Linked DNA regions of Stegostoma tigrinum. The protein of the gene in region 1 interacts with the protein of each later gene in a pairwise test. Links are inferred from orthologs where the notes say so. Each region holds a gene or a part of one and is shown in the gene's direction. Other genes may lie near its edges.

Region 1 (7,413 bases):
GCTCTCGTTTAAATTCATCATTAATCTCCTGCCCTTTGTCTAGTTCACCCTGCCAGTTGAATAACTGTCAGAACTCTGCATTACACTGGCATATGTGAAATTGGTTTTTCGGCTGGATAACCTGCTGACTTTGATTTGGATTCATGCCTTCAGCAGAAGAGAGAAGTAGGGAATAGGATACACACACACACACACACACACACACACACACACACATTGAAGTACACAAAATACTAAGGAGAAAAACAATAGTCAGGGACACGAACCAACTAGTGTAACATCACTATTTCATAATATTAATTTATTCTTACTTAAAGCATTCAATTTGAAAAGTTACTTTAATAGTCTCTGTGGCTATACACAAGATTAATTGATTTCATCCTCAGGGACAATTCAAATAAATCTACTCTGGGTTTTCTCACCCGTAATGACACCATGCCTGTGACAACAACCAATCAATATTCATTCCACCCATCTGCAGATTTCGCATGCTACCCATTTTAATTGCTTATCGTGTTATACTTAAACTATTATATACATGTTCTATTTTCACATCATAAATATGTTTGTCAAATGCCTTTTTAAAATTGTGATTTAAGTTGCCTTCTTCATCTTTTTGTGGTCAACTGCATAAATTTAGATGTCGAAATAAATAGGCCTTAAAAATAGGCTTCTTTGTACACAGAAATCCAAAACTATACTGTAAATAGTAAATGAGTTTCAAAGGAGAACTGGATTCTGCAGGAGTGCTAAGAAGGATTTAACAGTCAGGCAGTAGGCATGGCTAAAGTATAATTTAAGAACTTCACATTTGTCTTAACCAAGAAAGAATCGTGGAGTCATAGAATCTCTACTGTGTGGAAGCAGACCATTTGGCTCATCAAGTCCACACCAATGCTCTGAACAGTATCCATTCTGTCCCTGTAGCTCTGTTTTTCCAATGGCCAATCTACCTAACCTGTACATCTTTGGAGGAAACAGGAGAGAATGGAGAAAACCCATGCAAACATGGGGAGAATGCACAAACTCCACACAGACAGTTACCCAAGGATGGAATCGAGCCAGGGTTTCTGGCACTGTGAGGCAGCAGTGCTAATCACTGAACCACTGTGCCACCCCATGCACCCCAGAAGGTGCTGGTGAAGCCATGATTGAGGAGACAGTCGTTGGAAGCTTGAGAGACTAAAATTTTATAAGGAGAGGATATTAGATTGCCTGTCTGGATGAGGGAAGTAAGGAAATTGGACAGGCACTGACCATGTCTTTGAATCCTCATTAGACACAGAGGTGGTGTCAGCACTGAACTGGAGAATTTCAAATGTTACACTCTTCTTCAAAAAAAGACACAAGGATAAACCCAGTAATTGTATAATCAGTTTATTTAACCTTGGTTTTGTAAAAGCTTTGAGAAACAATAATTTGGGACAACATTAACAATCACTTGGATAGACACAAGACAAAGATCTTCAGCAATATGTTTGTTCAATAGTATTCAAGTTAATAGAATCATACAATACAAAAGAGGGCCTATGGTCTATCAAGTCTGTACCGCCAAAGCTACACTGAATCTAACTAGCCCCACTTTTCAGCACCAGGCCCACGCCTTGAATGTTTTAACATATCTTGATTAATTCAGGAAAACCAGCATAGACTTATAGAGGGAATACCATATTTAAGTTTTTTTGGTGAGATAGCACAGAGAGCAATGAGAACAATGAAATCACTGTAGTGTGCTTGGACTTCCAAAGGGCATCTGGTTCCACATATCAAACCTTTTAGCAAAGCTAGAGGTAAGGAGACAAATGTGACAGTAATATCTTGGATATAAAATTGGCTGAGGTACAGGTAACAGAGTACTTGTGGATGATTCTTTCTTTTGGAATGGAGGAAACATTTTAGTTACGTTTGCCAGAGATTGTTATCAGTTCTGTTGCTCTTTTGATGCATGTTGCTGGCACGGCTGCTGTGCATAGGACACCACCTCAAAATCTGCAGATGTTACAAACGATGTAATTATTGTGTTATGTGAGAATAGTGGTAAAATTCAGGAGATCATAGACAGACTTATGGGAGTAACAGAAACAGAATGAGATTTGATACAGAGAAGTATGAAATGCTTTGATTTCGAAGGATGGGGAAAGACTTCATAAAATAAAGCATACCATTCTATAGGATGTGCAGGCCACAGAGGGGCATGGGGATGTATGTTCAGAGACCATTAAAGCTGACAATAGCAGGTTGAAAAAATGGTTAATAAAGCATACAATATTCTAGGATTTATAAATGAGGACAAGAAGTATAAAAACACAGCTGTTGTGATAAAACTACATGAAACATTGGTTTGACCTTTAACGGAGTATTGTGTCCAGTCTTGGACAGCACACTTTAAAAAATTTGTGGTGGTATTATAAAAGATGCACAGAAGATTTTTAAGAATAGATCAGGTACAAGGGACTTAAATTACATAGATAATTGTAGAAGCTGAGGTTGTCATCTTTGGAGATGAGGAGATGTTCAAATGTATGAGGTATCTAGACAGAGTAAACAGTGAGGAACTGTTCACATTAGCAGAAAGTCAACAATCAGAAGCAACAACTTGATGATTGGCAGAGAACCATAACAGGCACAAAAAGAAATCTTTTTTCAAAAGTGAGTGACTGGGATCATGAATGCCCTGAAATGGCCTCCTTCTGTGCTCTAACAATTCTATGAGTAGTTCATAGTACAGTACTTGAATATTGCTGAAAAGAGACATGTATTGTCAAAGCCTTTGTCTTCAGGATAAACACAAGAATGCCAAATTTCAAATGAACTCCAGAATTTATGCCGTTGGAGAAGTGGGTGCTGATTGGTTGACAAGTTGTCTTTGATGTTAACATGCAGAAAACAAAATGGATAGGTCCCCATTCTCTTTGGGAATTCAGAAAAGGTACAAGACTTACATTGTGATTGTTTCAAATTTGATATTCTTGAGTTTTCCTCAAGAGTATAAGAAAAACAAGCCTCTCTTTTCAGCAGTATTCCTATCTGTACCTCACTGTGACTGAACGTAAAAGTTCCTCTGGTACTATTTAATGAGGAGTGATCAATTATTAAACTTTAATCAACAAGTCTCTTAAAATAGCTTAATAGCAATTGATCTCGTTGCTGTTGGTGGGGCCTGTTTTCAAAGTCAGGACTGCATTTTGCCACAGCACAAGCGACTGCGCTTAAAATATCCTCTGGTTCTATACTCTCCCATTAGAACAAAATCTCTCCAGTCAAGTCCCCTAAGAATACTGATATGTTTCAATAACATTGCTTTTCATTCTTCTAAACTCCAATGAATTCAATCCTAGCTACTCAATCTGATCTCATAAGAAAATCTGTCCATACCTGGGATCAACTTGGTGAATGTTCTCTACACTGCCTCCAATGCCACGTATATCCCTCCTTAGATAAAGAGGCCAAAACTGTTTACAGTATTCCAACTATGGTCTGACGAATGCCTTGTATAGGTTAGCAAGACTTCTCTATTTTTATACGACATTACATTTCAAATAAAGGCCAGCATTTCCTTCATATCCTGTCTTTAAAAACTTCTGAAAATCTGTTAAGTATATTTAAGTACATTGGTAAATAGATATTTACCAAGTGGTAGAGAGGCGGAACACATCCCTTGATTCCCATCTGATAGGTAATATGTATGTGTTGTGGCTTTTTGTGTGTCTCCAATTTAGATCACTCCACCCCAGCTCAGAGACAGTGACTTAATTTGCCTGGGTTCCCGGCTCTGAAATTCCTTGCTACAACCTCTCATCGCAAAGCTTCTCAACCAACACCTCACCTCCCCCATTTACAGAATTCACGGAATTGTAAGAGCTCATTCAGCTCATCGTGACTGTGCCAGCTCTCTGAATGAGTAATGCACCTACTGTCATTCCTCCACCTTCTCCCCGTGAAACTATTATCTGAAAAGGAAAATTATCATCCAATTGTCACTGGCCAAGGTGTTGGTCCAGCTACCCCAGACGCGGCCTTATCAGGCCCAAAGACCAAAATTTGGGACATCATACTCCTGTAAGCTCTCTGTGAGCCACATTAATGCAAGCTATTGTTACTATATGCTGTACAGTATTACATGCCTTTGTAGTGCAGATGTGCTCCAGCGAAGAGGCAAGTTCCTCCCTCTCCATCCATACGAGTGGGAGGGTAAGGCAATGAGAAAAAAAATCCTACGGAGCTGCAACCTACCTTGAATGTGGTCCCACAAGCCCCACCCACACCTACTCACACATCTCCCGATTCCGATTGGGTAGCGAGCGTGTCAATCGTCATCGGCAGACACTTCCGGTAGGCGGCAGGTTTGGTTGGCGACACGAAGGGGGCGGGGTTTCCTTTAGTCCCGCCCCCGCTTCAGCCCGCGGACATGGCTGTTCCTCTCAGTCAGACGGTGGTGCGTCGAAGGGGCTTTGGTGATGGCGGTTAAAAAAAGATGTAAATTTCTATCGGCGTTTACTTAAATCCGCTGGATTTGTAAATTCATGAGGGAAACTGTTGTGCATTTGAGCCGCCGAGGTAATTTTCCTGCTGGAAATCGAAAGGCGGTGTCGCCATGAAAATTTTCCCGAAAGTCTTAATTTCATCTTGTAATTGGGATGGAAGATTGAAATGGATGGGCGAGTACGTTTTTTTAAGTCACTGGTAATGTTTAATTCAGGGTTTTCTCTTTTGATTCTCGTTTCTGTAGGAGCTTTACTAGCTGAATACAGCAAGATCCCACTTTTAGCCCACCACCACCTCCCTTTTATTTTGCAGATGAAGCGGTGCAAGTCTGACGAACTGCCCCTGGATGAGGAGCAGGGGTCGAAGCTGGGAGTTGGTGCTGATACAGCGCTCAAGCAGCAGGGTGATGCTACGCCAGCAGATGCTGCCTGTCCATCCCGCAACAACAGAGCTCAAGACTTGAAGGTACAGCGAATAAATAAGCTCTTCCTTCTTTACTCATAATAATAACATAGGCTGGTGAAAATCCTACCTCTTCTTTTGGGCTTTCTGCCTTTTGCCCTCGTGTAGCTCCAAATTTTTGCCTGCTGCATCTCCTAAAATGCACCTTTGGGTATCTTGCTGTCTGCCAAGGTGCTATGCAAAAGCAGGTTGCTTTCAAACTTTTAATTGTGCGGGATGCTTTGTCTTACCTGATGTTATTGCTCACTACCTTTGGCTTGTTTTATCCCAACTGACACAAAAGTGATTAAGGGGCTGATGACTAAGACAATTAGATTTAAGGTAAAGAAGAATCAAGGGTGTGTTTCGTCTGGTTTCAGATTTAACCCCGCCTCTGAGTAAGTCTTTGCTAACCTCATATTGTGCTGAGAGGTGGTTTGAAAACTACTGAATGACTCTTTATTAGTGATTTTTATGGTTTAAATAATTAGCTATGTTTTTAATCTGCATTTTTGCAATGGAAATATAAGGTTGAGTAATTGGGCACTGAGGAATTGTTATTCCTGATAATGTAAACAACTGGGATCACAGCTGAAAAGTCCTGCAAAAGATACAGTTTGTGCATATTTAAGTGTTCAAATTAAATTTCAATCATGCATGCTGCCCAAAGTGGTGTCCTTTGAGCCAAAGTGACTCTGGTGATCTGTGCTGTTTCTTCATTTCAGCTGGGCTATAATCTGTCTGGGTGGGGCAGATGGCCACCGCCTCTGTTCCAGCAGAGTGGAAAATCAACCCTATCTTCATAACTATCCAGTAAATCCTGTTGGATAGTGGGTGTGGGTAGATCAGTTCACTACAACATCGTCTTCAACCAATCCAGCACAGTCAAGAAGCCTGCAGAGACTTGCTGCTTTAGATTATACAAAAGGAATAATAATTCAAGTCAGCTATTTAATTAAGAATCATGGCACAAGAAATAGATTTCTGAAGATTAAAGTTGCAATTCAAATAAATCCAGTCACCTTCCGTAATTTTTGTTTAATAAAAGTATAACTGATTCACTTTTTAAGTGGAATGAGTGATTGACAAAGAACTTAGAACTCGAATCCAGTCTTTGAATTGTGAAAGTAAATTGGACATGTTTCAATTATACGATTTTTTGATAGTGTCTGAATCTCTCAAATCCATTATTGTTTTGTTATTCACCAATGGTCATTCACTGCAGTCATTATTGCCCCCCCTTGTGCTTTCATTGTGGTGAATTGTTATAAATAGAGCTTAGTTCAGCATATGACATTGAACAGAATGCTCTTATTTCAATGGGGAAGGAAGATTAATAACTTGGGCTATTCGTTTCTACTACATCACTATCATTTTGAACAATGTTTTTAGTTTACTATGAATAATAGATACCAGTGTTGTATTGCTGTGTTCCAAACCTCAGCTATACCTGGAAGGAAAATAAAACTAAACTCTTAGATGCCACTATAATAGTAATAATACTAATGAACTAATTCTAAGTAGTCATTCTAATTCCTTTCTCGTGCAAATTCATATTTGTCATGCATGGGGTAACTTTACTCAGAATAACAATTTGAAGTCTGTTTAGTGGCTTTTCCATTGTTTTTCTCGCATGTCATCTACCATAGTTTCTATGTGCTGTACATTTTATCTGTTTGTGACGATGGCTTAGAGAGCTGATTCAAGGCCCTGTTTTTTTGCATTCTGTCTGTCTTCCTCTTCCTCCTACATTTTGCTCCCACCCCGTGCTTCACTCATTTTCAATTTTAAATTAAAAGTTTTGTAGTGTGTGCATCAGCATTTCTTGCATCATTAATATGATCAATTTCTAGGCAGTGTTTCCTAAATTAATACAGTCCCAGATAGGTACCTTTAAATGTGATATTCCAGGACTCTCTTCCAAACAGCTGCTGGAATTATATCTACTGATTTATTTTTTGGCTACATGTCCATTCTTTGAGAAATACATGTTGCAATTACAAGTTGAATACATCCTTAAATACGTCAGGGTTCTGATCCTTCATCCTAACACCATGACACAAATAATCCTCTACTCGTCTGCCATTATGTAACAGTGGGATTGTTTCAATGCTTAGTGTTTTATTTGAGGACAATTCTTACTTTGAAGGAGGTTGAGTGTGGTTGACTTAAAAAGCCTTGTTCACACTGGTCATGTTCTATATCTGCTAATTTTGTTTAAAACAAAATGAAGCACAGGTGGCAATTTGATGCCAGTCATTTATGTTGAGGCCCAAGAATGACAATTCTTCCTCTCCTGAAATATTTCAGTCTGACACTCCCTTTTACACACAAGATCGGAGCAGAAGTGGATCATATGGCTTTTTGAGCCTTCTCTGGCATTCAGTGCAGTATTTCTAGGTTTCATCTCCACTTAGTTGAGACCTGTTAATGTAGATAAGAATTTCAGGATTTTCCTAAATAAATTATGCGCCAAGATTTTTCTGT
Region 2 (7,187 bases), on another chromosome or scaffold:
ACCTCTGACATTACCATCCTCCAACATCTCTGCACTGTTACTCAGCAGATTGAAACTGTTCTCTAATGATTCTATTCTTATCTAAACATAACCAGAGAATCATTCAAAATGGAAAACCGAAAGAACTGTGAATGCTGGAGTCAGAAGCAAGACCTGAAATTGCTGGAAAAATTCACCTGGTCTGGCATCTTTGTAGAGAAAGCAGAGTTAACTCTTGAGTCCAGTGACCCTTCTTCAGAAATGAAACAAGTTCTGAAGGAGGATCACTGGATCCCTGGAACTGAAATGTTAACTGCTTTCTCTTCACTGATGCTGCCAGGCTTGCCTTGTTTTTTCCCGCAATTTCTGGTTTTGCTTATCATTTGGAATGGCTTCTCTTCCTGCTCCAACAACATTATCTCTCATTTTTTCTAGGATCGATCTTTGACAATGCCTTCCCATTTCTCGTCTACATGCTGCTTTTTTCAACATCAGTTAAAGACAATGCAATTTTTTTTACATGTAGCCTGATAACACCCAGTTCTATTAGCACACTTCAATCGTTGCCTTATTATCAGACTCATTATTTATCATCCATTCATGAAAGAAGAGTTACAGAGTGACAGGACCTAATGCAAATTTAGACATACGTAGCAAAGAGACAGCAGTGATGTCATTGGACAAGTAATCCAGACTCTCCAAGTTAATCTTCTGGGAAACATGGGTTAAAATCCCACCATGGCAGTGGTGAAATTTGAATTCACAAAGGGCTGTTACGGTAGCACCGTCTCTGGTCCAACATAGCTGGCTTCTCGTCCCATCTGCCCCAGTCACATCATGAACATGTCCAAAAAGGTCAAGTAAATTAAGTACACCTCTCCACTTCTCTACCTCACTTGCCTTTTTTGAGACACTCCTCAAAGCCTCCCACTTTGATCAATTGTTCATTTAATTTCATGTAGCTCTGTGTCCTGTTTTTCTTAAAATAATGCACTGTCCCAACACCTTTAATGTTTCATTACATTAAAAAGGGCTCCAGATATTGTTTCAGGTATAGCTTTAAGAAAGCTGTTGATGAATAAACAACTATATATCCTTGTTTTTCCAGGATGATCCTGGTGTATGGAGCAATTTTAGTAGAAGTGAGCAAGATCCAATAATGTTTCATATGATTACATCTAGCCTGACTGTGAATGGCCAAACCAGTTGTGCACCACATGTACTAAATACCCCTTGAACTGAAGTAAAGCTGGGGCTAAATAACCAGAGAGAAAGGACATTATGGAGGTGAAAATAATCAATCAACAGGGGAGGCGACAGAGCAAGTGCACAGATCAAAAGATGAAGTAGCGCGGCTAACAGAAGGCCAATGAGCAGCTGAAAATAGCATTTTAATTGGAGTTTCTTCCAGGTTATACCTGGAAGGAACTGAGGGTAGGAGAGAGCTGAGAGCAATTAGAAAAAGCAGCAAACAGATGTTGTCATATATATTAAATGATGGAAACAGGTCACAAGACAACACAAAGGACTGCCTTTAAACAGAATTATAGGAAGAGGAGGAGAAAAAGCAGTGAGATTGTGATTGTTGGTGTTTTCAATGAGGCAAAGCTGAAGGATGTAAAGAATGAGCATCTTATAATTAGGGTAGTCTTGGACGGACAGTACAGAATGAGGATTTTAAAAATGAGCAACGATAAAGAAAATTCCTCACTTAGAATGTATTGAAATACTTGTGTGTTTCATGCAAAATGAACTAGTACTTCTGCAGATCACTGTAGTCATATTGACAGTCTTAGATGCATTTTCCAGATGTCCATGGCACATTTACCAAGTGATTTTACTGCCACCCTTTCAAAAGTTGGAGTTTTCAAAGTGAAATGAATCACTTCTGAAACAAGTTGACTAGTTTAGATTCATAATTTTATGTTTATTATTGGAAAATTCAACTAGCAATGAGATCAATCACAGTAAAACAGAAACTTGTGTGTTTGACATTGAATTTATTGTACCAAAGCTGGAAAAAGTGGTATTTACAGACTAAGACAAAAAGACAGCAACTTCATGGAATGGCCAGTTTCTTAAAACTGAAAGAAACATCCAACATTCATGCTGTGTATTTTCCAAGAATATCTCCATCTCTAAACAAGTAGTAATCCTGAGGAAGAAAATAAAAATCATCAAGGAGAAAGAAATCAATTTCTAAATACAGTCAAAAGAACTACTAAGACAATAGTACCAACCTTATCATCCAAGACAACTTTAGTCCCTCCATATTCTGGGAGTAGAACTGTTTCACCAACTTTTACATTAACGGGGTGAATATCACCATTCTGAAATGAAAATGCAAATGATCCACAAATTAATGTTTGTGAACAGTGCTCTAGCCAAAGTTTATAATGCACCGTACAGAAATTTGCACTTTTTGCTTATCTGTGAATTTGCAGCAAGTTACAAGTAGTAGTACTTGTAACTTGCTGCAAATTCACAGATAAGCTTTCTAATTATACCTAAGAGAAATTATACCTAAACTTAATAAAACAAAACAGCAGGCCACTTTGGAACACAGTATAAAAATATAATCTATTGGATCAGACTTTGTTAATGTAATAATCACAAGCATTTAGTTGATTAGGATTTTGTTTTCAGAAAACTACCTTTACTCGGCTGCCAGGTCCAACTGCTACAACTGTTGCTTGAAGTACTTTACCCTGGGATTTTTCTGGAAGCATGATGCCACCTTTTGTTACCTTCTCTGCTGCCACCCTTTCCACCAAAACACGGTCAAAAAGGGGCAGAAACTTTTTAAATGCCTGTCCTGCCTGTTAAAATAAAACGTTTCAGTTACCTATTAACCAACAGGTTACAGACCACATATTGAAAGCTTTACCACTTCTGAGATCTACAAATAAAAAGGTCAACCCAAAATGAATCTTGAGAGAAAAAGTGATAGCTGAATTTTTTTGTTATAAAGAACTAGATAACCTGTCCTTAGACTGTTAGCTTAGTTTTCACAGCTATTATGAATATATATAAAATAAACTCCTAAATGTAACATCATTAGAAATAAAAAACCATGATCCAAATGCTGAAAATGTAACATATTACCTTAAGAAGGGCGTAAAACAGCAGCTGAAGATATTAATATGGAAAAAAATTATTTCTCAACATAAATGTTGAGGACATTTAAAAATCAAGCTCATTTGACCTTGAAACTGTCCCCAACATCAAATCTAAAATCGTTAAATAAGTTGCACGTAACAGATCATCATTTTTATCCAAATGTCGGTGTGGTTACATAGTAACAAACGTAGTTCTTCAATCCATTACTTTTGTTACAAACTGATCTGTAGTAGCGAGACAGGTCACAAGCACATTTGTCCTTTCATTCATCAGGATTGTAACCAGTCGGTGGCCTGGCGAATCATTTCCCTGCTAGAGTAGGAATATTTCAAAAGGATCATATTCCCTGTTTGAACTGAGCTATCAAACACGATAAATTATTTTGTATCCAGCACATGCTCAACTGGATTTAAAACAACGCAACTTACCATTTCAACATCAGGAAGTCACAAAAATACTTATCAAGAACAATACGTAAATCGGTTTATTCTTCTCATTCAGTATATCACAAACAAAAACGTAAGCTTACCATGCCTGCTACCACTTCCAGAAAGCACTAGAAATAAGACACCTCCCTGCAGCAGCAATTATGGCAGTCTCTCCACGTGAGGAAATACCTTCGAACCCGAAGACATGACCTCGAACGTCAGAGGAATGTTACATTTCAGAGGCATTTTCTAAACTGAAATCCACACCTGAGCAAAACTTTGGCAGCATTTTACACTCATAAACACCCAAAGTAAATTTTGTTGCAATTTTAGAGAAGAAATCAAGAAATAAAATTATTGCGCAATAGAACTGTGCACTTTGACCCAACCTACGTTAAGCGTCTGGAAGTTTCTGGAACTCGAACCCCTGAAGCTGTATATGAACTGCTTCGCGTGCCTGCTTTTAGTTACAAGTTGGTACTAAATCCTATGAGTCTGGTGCTGGGATATCCATTGGTGGTAGTGAGTAGGTGGCTATTTGCTTGTCGAAATGTTTTGGCAGCTGTGTACCTGGAAGTGTTGGTGGTGTTAGAGTATCCAGAGTAAGGGGCGGGCGGAGACTTCTCCCCGCTGCAAACCCACGTGTTCTCCGAGTGAGACTTGGGCTCAGTCCTGGCGGTTGTGTAGTTTGCGTAGCTGTGGAATTTGGTTGAAGCTAGGGCTATTACTGTCTTGTTTACTACTTGTTTTTCTAAATAAACATTTTAGTAAGTGGTATTATGCAGAAATCGGTTTGGTTCGTATATTTTTGAAAAATTTTGCAAGCTACAGGCGTTTCCTTCTATGCCAATGGATTGAGACAATGAATGAAGACGAGGAATCAGAGTTCCAATGCTGGATGTTAGACAGACTAGCAGTTACATGTTATCTTTACAGACCTGAAGTCTCTCTTAGTCTAATTTGAGGCATATTAGTTACTTTTGTTTTGCATTCCTCGTTATTTTGCGGATTGTTGAAGTACTTTAATTTGACCTTGTGACGTGTGTCCCCTAGCGACGTGTGGGGAGGCCCATGTTACTGACACCATACGCTTTTAAAAAATTTAACGTGTAGTTAAAAGGTTGATCGGTATTATTTCTCTTCTCCACTGCAGATAATGCTCCGTTTGCCAACCGTTCTACGCCAGGTAAGGCCTGTAACTCGTCTACTTGCACCTCATCATGCACGAGCTTACGCCAAAGATGTAAAATTCGGATCCGAAGCTCGGGCTATGATGCTGAAAGGAGTTGATCTTCTCGCCGATGCAGTGGCTGTAACCATGGGACCAAAGGTGGGTCAGCGTCTACTGTGGGCTTAGAACTCAATATGCAGTTTGATATTATGGAAACATTCCAAAATATTTATGCTCCTCAAAACTAGAATAAGTACTCATTGCGTTAGATAATGCCGACATCAATAGAAATAGTAAAACTGTTGATGATGCAGGATTGGCTTTGGACATGTACTTTATCTTTTTTGACAAAAACAGTTAGGATTATTAATACTTAATAGTAGAATGGCCACAGTTATTTGAGAACCTTCAAAAATATTCATAGCCACAATTTGAAGCTGCAACATTGTCATAATCTTCAGTATACCACATTAGCATGAGCTGCCCATCACAAGACAGGTGGATAGTGATTTATATTTTGATAACAATAACTGAGGCTGCAACTGGGACTTGATGCAGTGAATTTTGAGTCTGCTGTTTGGTGACGTGCATGAAAAATTCATGTCTGAACCAAGCCACCAAGAACGATGTATGCCAAATTTAAAAATTTATCAAGAGATATTAAATTAATTGAGCAATGGACAAACTTTCCTCATTCTTTGAGAAAAAGGAACTCTCATTTTTTTGCAGATCTAACCCTAACTTTGTCATCAAGCCTGCCGATAAGGGTGGCGCTGTTGTCTGGTGTACTGACCTCTGCCTTGCAGAAACTGAGCACCAGCTCTCCAATACCACCACTTAACTTCCCCTGGACCATGACCCTACCATGGCGCATCAGGCCGTTGTATCCACTGTGGTTACGGATCTCATTTCATCTGGTGATCTCTCTTCTCTTCTCTTCTCCCCCCCCCCCCCCCAAATCAGCTCCAAAGCTAATAGTCCCCCAAACCCGCACAGCTGATTTCTACCTGCTGTCAGAAATCCACAAATGGGACTGTTCAGATAGACCCATTGTTTCAGCCTGCTCATGCCCCACGGAACTCATCTCTTCCTACCTTGACTCAGCTCCCCTTGTTAGTCACCTAACAGTCCCCATTAACAACTATTCGCCCTCCCAGCCTGATTGCTAGCAACTCCTTTGTCTGTCAACTGTCTTTCTCTCTCTTCGGGCTCTATCCTATCATTTACTCCTATCCACCCACCTCCCTATTTTCTGCATATAAACTGATGTTTTCTCAGCCATCATCAGTTCTGAGGAAGGGTCCTTGGACTCGGAACGTTAACTCTGTTTTCTCCTCCACAGATGCTGCTAGACCTGCTGAGCTTTTCCAGCAACTTTGTTTTTGTCTGTTTTTTTCTTTGCAGTTAGTTTTCCTTTAGAATAAAATCCAGAAAAATGGTGTGTATGTCCCATAGCATGGATCTTCTTATTAGAAGCTTGATTTGAGCTCTTAAACAAAAACTAAATTAGTGTCAGTTTTAATTACCCTTAAATGTTTATACATTCTTGAAAAAAGTCACTACCTCTGTTCAAGCCCCTGAGAAAAATGAATTGTGATGAATTGATTTTTATATTGTGGTCCCAGCACATCAAGTAATGCTTGCTATGTTAACTTGTAACACTGAAGAAACCACTAGTTTCTGCAAAGTCATTCTTTGGTTTTCTTTCAGCTAGAAACTAGAATTTCACTCTTAAAAATACAAATTCCTCATTCCACATCTTCTAAAAGGCAACTGCAATAGGAGTCTGAGATTGCATGTCACAGTACTGTTCTAATAAACTATTAGCATTCGTCACTCTACCTGCTTGAAAAATTCACTGTCAACGTTGCTCTCACTTGTTTCATTATTAACCATAATACAAAGTCTAATCAATTTCTTACAAAGGATTAACTTAATTGAGATAACAAGGTGTGGAGCTGGATGAACTCAGCAGTCCAGGCAGCTTCAGAGGAGCAGAAAGCTGATGTTTTGAGTCTGGACCCTTCTTCAGAAATTGGAGAGGGGAAGGGGGCTCTGAAATAAACAGAAAGAGGGGATGATGATAGAAAGTGGATAGTGGATCACTTAGGTGGGAGAGAAGATGGACAGGTCAAGGAGGCAGGGATGAGGGGGGTGCTGTTCTTAGGACGTGGTCGGGAGTGGGGAGATTTTGAAGCTGAAAGTCCACGTTGAGACCATTGAGTTGGAGGGTTTCAAGGTGGAATATAAGGTTGTTGTTTTTCCAGTTTCTGGGTGGCATCGTTGTGATGCAGGAGGAGGCCCAGGATAGGCGTGTCTTCCAGAGAGTGGGAGGGGGTATTGAAGTGGTTCGCGACTGGAAGGTGTTATTTGTTGCGAACCGATCGTAGGTGCTCCACACAAGTCTCCAAGCCTCTGCTTGGTCTCGCCTATGTAACGAGAGGCCACATCGAGAACCGTGAATCCAATAGACCACATTAGTGGATCTG

What was found. The genes of interacting proteins can lie anywhere in the genome.
Region 2: the proteins of tmcc2 (region 1) and hspd1 interact in a two-hybrid assay, tested with the Homo sapiens proteins (2 studies listed by BioGRID). The two-hybrid records come from large-scale screens. The link is inferred for Stegostoma tigrinum from reciprocal best matches to the Homo sapiens genes TMCC2 and HSPD1.

Annotation. Positions count from the first base shown.
Region 1 is NC_081374.1:8,083,531-8,090,943, reverse strand, and holds the start of tmcc2 (transmembrane and coiled-coil domains protein 2), read left to right. Parts: upstream 1-4,394; 5' UTR 4,395-4,650; coding exon 4,651-4,662; coding exon of another isoform or gene 4,663-4,683; intron 4,684-4,797; coding exon 4,798-4,950; intron 4,951-7,413.
Region 2 is NC_081360.1:31,740,283-31,747,469, forward strand, and holds the start of hspd1 (60 kDa heat shock protein, mitochondrial), read left to right. Parts: upstream 1-4,170; 5' UTR 4,171-4,294; intron 4,295-4,680; 5' UTR 4,681-4,683; coding exon 4,684-4,857; intron 4,858-7,187. Other genes in the region: hspe1 (10 kDa heat shock protein, mitochondrial), read right to left, coding at 2,084-2,134, 2,220-2,309, 2,634-2,798, 3,629-3,631. UniProt on the Homo sapiens protein: Chaperonin implicated in mitochondrial protein import and macromolecular assembly. Together with Hsp10, facilitates the correct folding of imported proteins.